Linked DNA regions of Bombyx mori. The protein of the gene in region 1 interacts with the protein of each later gene in a pairwise test. Links are inferred from orthologs where the notes say so. Each region holds a gene or a part of one and is shown on either strand. Other genes may lie near its edges.

Region 1 (2,505 bases):
TTCTTCATAATGTAATAAAAATAAATAAATAAAATAGAAATAAGAATAACTTCCTGATAAACTATTCACATTTATTTAAGCTTTTTTTTAATTGTTACTGCATGGAACATAAGTACAAGTCATATAAATGAAACAACAAAAATGATTTCTTTCATAGACTTCTTTCTTTTTGAAAATTATAGTTTACAATTTTAATGGAACTCTTTTTTATACTCAATCAATTTTTTTTTAATAAAAAAAACCTTTACCTGTGTACCTTAACAAAAATTCGCGAAGAAATAACATTGAGTAATAAAATCAAACCTGCAAAAATCCCAATTTGTGTGATTACCTGCCTAGGTAGGTCCCACAATACTGTCCATTTCTGCCGTGAAGTAGTAATGCGTTTCGACTTAAAGAATAGGGCAGCCATTGTACTGTAAAAACTGAGACTTAAAACTCATGTCTCAATGGGTGTGGCGGCGTTAACGTTGTTGTTGTCTATGGGCTCCGGTATCCACCTAACGTCAGGTGGGCCGTGGGCTCGTCCACCCATCAAATCAATAACAAAAAAAGAATTAGTAATGTAATTATTACTGTACATTCCTAGCTATAAAAAATGAATATGAGACTCACTAAAAATATGGTATTTCAGGGAGGAATGCAACAAATATGGTGTTGTGCGTAGTATAGAAATTCCAAGACCAATTGAAGGAGTCGAAGTACCTGGATGCGGCAAGGTAAATATTTATATTTAAAATTAATGGTTTGGAAATCATAATTGAGTATGTCTTACTGCTTCTATGTACTTTTAGGTCAAAATAAATTAGTTGTACAAATTGATATAACAAGCTCATCAAAATATTCTCATATTTTTAAACTGAGATAAATAATAAAAATAAAATTATACGAAATAATCGAGTCTATAAATGTAGCTATAAGAAATAATATGAGATGATTTCTACAAAACTCAAATATCATATTATCATAAACATGCCACACTTTAAATTTCTGTCGTGAAGTTTTCATTTAGGAATTAGTAGGAAAGTCGTTAAGTACATACACTAAACAATTGAATGTTATAGATACCTCATATCTCAAGGTAGGTGGTGACATTCACATTGTAATAAACCAACATAAGAGAGGTCCATATATACGACTATGGAATTTATTACTGGTGGTAGGACCTGTTGTGAGTCCGCACGGGTAGGTACCACCACCCCGCCTATTTCTGCCGTGAAGCAGTAATGCGTTTCGGTTTGAAGGGTGGGGCAGCCGTCGTAACTATACTGAGACCTCACAACTTATATCTCAAGGTGGGTGGCGCAATTATTTTGTAGATGTCTATGGGCTCCAGTAACCACTTAACACCAGGTGGGCTGTGAGCTCGTCCAACCATCAAAGCAATAAATAAATAAAAAGACTGGAATAAACGAATAAAATCCACATTTTTTTTGTTAAAAAACGTTTTTTTTATCAGGTATTTGTCGAGTTCAACAGTATTGCAGATTGCCAGAAAGCGCAGCAGACGCTCACAGGACGCAAGTTCAGTAACAGAGTCGTCGTCACATCCTACTTCGATCCTGACAAATATCATCGCAGAGAGTTTTAAAGATATATTTTTTTTACCGTCACTTCAACTTCGTCCTGTTGCACTAGCGTGTAAGAAAATGTTCAACATTGTTTTTGAAAGAAGTTTAATTTTCATTAGTTTACATTAAAAACATATAAGAACAAATTAAATTTAAAAATAAATGCTTGTAACGATTCATTGTAAAAGTGAGTTCTTAACTACCAAATGAACAGATTTAATTGTGATCTACTCAATTACGACTGATAATTAATTTTACAAGTTCTATAAATTGAAAATGTCACGTTTTGTTGAAAATAAAAGTTTTTTTTTTTTCACAAGACCTATACATGACACATGCTAGTAGCACATTCAACAAACGACAGAGATTAAATCTATCAAAATGCATGTGAATTGGAGCATCATGCTTTTCGTCACCAATTCACTACAACTGACATGTTAAGTATTAACTAAAAAGTATATTGCGCGTTTGTAACTGCTATGAATAAATAAATTTATCTCGAATCATGTGTTTTTATTAAAAAGTTTCAAATTCGAATCGTTTTAACGTAGGTACATTATAAAAAAAAAAACTGTAGTTTTATACTTCTTGCTGCATAGCAGGTTGGTAAGTATTCAGTGAACCCGTTTCCGAAGATAGAACGAGTTTCCTCATAACTACATATAAGACGCCACCGATGATCAACATTCCAATTCCAGCCATCAAGCTAATTGCCCACGCGGGAACCGCATTGCCACCTGTAATAAAATAAAATGAATTTTGAGCACGCAAGTTGATTGATTATTTTAATCAACCTACACAACACGCGATCTCTATAAAAATAAAATAAATTAAAATATAAGAAATTTGTGAATTTATTTTCATGTTAGCGCCCTATAGTTTGATACGAAGTCAAGACGAAAATGTTTTGTGACTACTACTGACCAATCGAAAT
Region 2 (4,119 bases), on another chromosome or scaffold:
GGTACTACTTATTGTAAGCATGCCTCGAAAAAGATCCAACCTCTCCCAGTGCAGTAGGAATGCTAAAAGGATGAAATTAGTTTGATCACAAGAATCTGAAGCAGGTCATGAGGCAATACTCACTACATCTCAGGAACGTCAGGCGAGGTTTCGTGTTAGAGAAACTTCGGCTCAGCGAGAATCTCGATTGAGTTCACATTGTTCTCAAAAAAGACCACTCGAATTAGGGTGAAGAGGGAACAGCGTGACGCAAGTTTGTCCATCGATCGTGAATCTTATACACTATCGCGTGAGTCTGAGACTTTCACTGATAGGGAATCCCGCCGGAGCTCCTCAGAGGGTTTGGACAGCAAATTCCCGGTTTTAGGAGACACTTGAAGAACGAGAAACACGTCTTACTGCCGATCGCGAGGCACATGCACTATCGCTTGAGTCTGAGACCTTTACTAATAGGGAAATCCGTCTGAGCTTTCAGAGGGCTCGGATAGCAATTACCTGGTCTCAGGACACACTTGAAGAACGAGAAGCACGTCTCTCTGCCGATTGCGAGGCTCATGCACTATCGCTTGAGTCTGATCCCTTAATTGATAGGGAAATCCGTCTGGGCTCTCAGAGGGTTCGGACAGCAAAAGCTTGCCCGGTCTCGGGAGACACTAGAAGAACGGGAAGCACAACTCACTACCGATCACGTTTCCATTGAGCCTATACTTCGTGATGATAATAAATAAAGCCCAAGGTCAGACGCTAAAAGTTGTGGGTGTAGATATAAGTGTTAACTGCTTTTCACACAGTCAACTCCGTCACACGGTTATGTAGCTCTGTCACATGTTAGCAATCCTAGCAATCTGTATGCTTTGATCCTCGATGGCTATACGTCATATCGTGTATAGAGAAGCATTACTTTAAATTAGATTTTTCTAAATACCTAAATGACGGTGCTTATAAACCAAAATATATGTCTTAAGACTGCTGCCCAAAGTCACTATTCCACGCGGGCGGAGTCGCGGGCACAGCTAGTTAACAAATAAACAAAAGAGAGCAAAGTTTCTAGCACTAAAATAATTACCACCACAGGAAGTTTATTCGAAACGCGATTTTTTATAAGTTAGCAGCTATTATCTTGCGTATTCAGAGTTGTTGTGTGAAATTTCAACATTCTACTATTAAACTACAAAAAATGGAAGATTTTGCAACGAATTTAAAACTAATATTGAGCGTCGAAAGATTTTCCTGGTTTTTTCCTCAATCACCTCTTAATCCCTAATCGCCCCATTTTACGGTACCTAAGCGTTGGTAGGTAATAATTTTACTGCCGGAGAGTGTATGGAGTTTATGGCAACATTGCAAATAAAGCCAATTTTTAATTTCAGAGATTTCATGGACTTTTCTTCGGTATTTTAGATATACCAGTAGCATTTGACATGATTGTCTTAAATAGTTAAATACTAGTTATAATTAGAAATTTTAAATGATATTTTCACATTGTTATCTGAATTATACGTTTAAATACCTACATTGGTGATACATCTGCTGACAATATTGGTTTGATCCGGTGTTCGTTTCTACGATATAACAATGGCAGAGTACTTGGCTGCTATATTTGGTACAGAAAAGGATAAGTAAGTTCGATTTGCAAAAATATTTAAATTGTTAAACATTGAAGTAAATTAGCGCCAAATATTTTGGATCAAGAGGTTATGTTTTGCGTGTGTGTCAGTAAAAATTCGAACCCGCTTTGATAAGAGCTTTATACACTTATTTTTTTTACTAGAGCTATTACCATTGCTGATTATTTTTTTAACAGAGACTAGGATATTATTCTACATAAATAGCTTGTGAAATTTCAGAGTAAACTGTTCATTTTACTTCAAAATTGGAGCGTGCCGACACGGTGATCGCTGTTCACGCATTCATAACAAGCCAACCTTTTCTCAGACTGTATTACTACAAAACTTGTATGTAAATCCACAAAATTCTGCGAAATCAGCCGATGGCAGTCATTGTAAGTATTTTTCATTCATACTAAGTTAATTATTGATCATGTGGCATTGAATTCTTTCTAAAAATTCTAAATGTTATTCTTTTTAAATTCATAAACGGGGACAAAAACGGGGAAGTGTAGGAACATAACATAATTTAAAAGCAGTGGACAAGGAAAATACGTTTCTGAAAGAATATGTACAGTCCAGCCTTAGTTTATACATTACGTGTTCATAAAATATGAATTAATTAAAATGACATAAATTTATGCTTAGCTTTCTAAATGTATTCACACATTATTCATTAAGTCAAAACCTATTTTGGTTTTGGAGAGCAGGATTCTTTACATTTTACATTGTAAATAATTTTTTTTTGTGATAGTATTATAATTTTATTGATTATTTATGATTGAATATTAAACAGAAAATGAGTGTCATTACTTCATTGTTTGAATTTATAAAGTATTTTTAAAGCTAAATTGTTTGTACTTCAATTTACAATATCAAATAATAATGAAGATAATTTTCAAATGAATTTATTTTATTTATAAAACAGTGGTTGTTGCCAACGTGTCTGATGAAGAGATGCAGGAACACTATGACAACTTTTTTGAAGATGTATTTGTTGAATGCGAAGATAAATATGGTGAGATAGAAGAAATGAATGTTTGTGACAATCTTGGGGACCATTTAGTTGGAAATGTTTATATTAAAGTAAGTATTTTTAAATTCTATATATATATTTTTTTAATTACAGGACTACTAATTAATATAAGTGCAAAATGTACTTGTAACTTAATCTTGAAAAGAATGAAGGTTGAAATTTTAGTCTTTCTCATTTCTTCATAATTCATTTTCATCTTTTAGTGTTTTCAGTTCTAAGCTAAGTAAGCATAAACCAATTGAGGTTCTTTTTGATTGTGTAAGATATATTAGGCAAGGGTATTACCAATGTTTAAGAGAAAGGTTTACGGTAGTTTTAGTGGTTAAAAGTGCTACTTATCCGACCCAGGTGAAGGGGCAACGCAAAGTCGCCGTCGTCCAGAACTTGTCTTGTCGGATCCCCCAGATCCACTTTCGGTCCTTTTAGACTCCTGAAGCACCGATCACCGTCGTCGCCCATCTTGTGGATTACGACGAAGAGTTCGACGCGCGAACTAACCCGTAGACACGGCCCACTGTGTTTCTCGGCGGATCTTCTCAGTGGGTCGCGATTTCGATTTGGTTGTAGATTATGAAAATCACTGCTCTTGTTAGGGCTAATGTTAGCAAATTCACTCAGGTTGAGCCCACTGAGCTCACCTACAGGTCCAGGCGTAGTTGGAATAGTCCCTTAGGCTACCAACGAATAGGTTTTTTTTATGGCAGCGTCAGATCATATACCTTGGGCTTCCATAATACCATAGTTAAAATTTATAATTATGAAATCAGTTCTTTACTTAAATTGTTTTGTTACATTTGTAGTCAAATAAGCTCTGGCTACCAAATTTTAAGTGATTACATAGATATCACCACATGAATGCTGTCACCCTCTTTGGGACATGGGGTCTTAATCTCATGTTATTCTTTCATAATGGAAGTCACCTGTCAATTATGTGTTTCACAAGAAAAAAATGTACTTGCCTGTGAAATTTGAACACCTGCATAGTTACTAAGGTCAATATTAGGCATTTTGTCATTTACTAGCAGTGTACCAGTAGACAATGGTCTTATGATTTAAGCGATAATGACATCCATGGATCTTTTACTTCTAGGTTTAAAATTTGGTCCCTGTTTAAAGCCATGGCAAAAATAGTACACAATTTGCTCTATTACCAGTTGCCTAATTAAGTAGCTATTATGGAAAATAGTGTATAAGTTTAGTTTATTTAAATTACTTATTGATAATTGTACTCCTGTATCAATAGAAGTTAGAACATTATTAAAATTTCGTTTCAGTTTCGTCGAGAGGAAGATGCTGAGAAAGCAGTTAACGATTTAAATAACCGCTGGTTTGGAGGCCGGCCAGTCTATGCAGAACTCTCGCCGGTGACGGATTTTCGCGAAGCATGCTGTCGTCAGTATGAGATGGGAGAATGCACCCGAAGTGGATTTTGCAACTTCATGCATCTGAAACCTATTTCAAGAGAACTGAGAAGGT

What was found.
Region 2: the proteins of U2 small nuclear ribonucleoprotein auxiliary factor 2 (region 1) and splicing factor U2af 38 kDa subunit interact in binary tests that used the Drosophila melanogaster proteins (3 or more experiments, as listed by UniProt). The link is inferred for Bombyx mori from reciprocal best matches to the Drosophila melanogaster genes U2af50 and U2af38.

What each region holds. Positions count from the first base shown.
Region 1 is NC_085123.1:10,731,961-10,734,465, forward strand, and holds part of U2 small nuclear ribonucleoprotein auxiliary factor 2, read left to right. Parts: intron 1-634; coding exon 635-719; intron 720-1,459; coding exon 1,460-1,591; 3' UTR 1,592-2,306; exon of another isoform or gene 2,307-2,308; intron 2,309-2,505. UniProt on the Drosophila melanogaster protein: Necessary for the splicing of pre-mRNA. Binds to the polypyrimidine tract of introns early during spliceosome assembly.
Region 2 is NC_085118.1:11,668,300-11,672,418, forward strand, and holds the start of splicing factor U2af 38 kDa subunit, read left to right. Parts: upstream 1-1,319; 5' UTR 1,320-1,575; coding exon 1,576-1,619; intron 1,620-1,847; coding exon 1,848-2,002; intron 2,003-2,535; coding exon 2,536-2,693; intron 2,694-3,917; coding exon 3,918-4,117; intron 4,118-4,119. UniProt on the Drosophila melanogaster protein: Necessary for the splicing of pre-mRNA. Binds to the polypyrimidine tract of introns early during spliceosome assembly.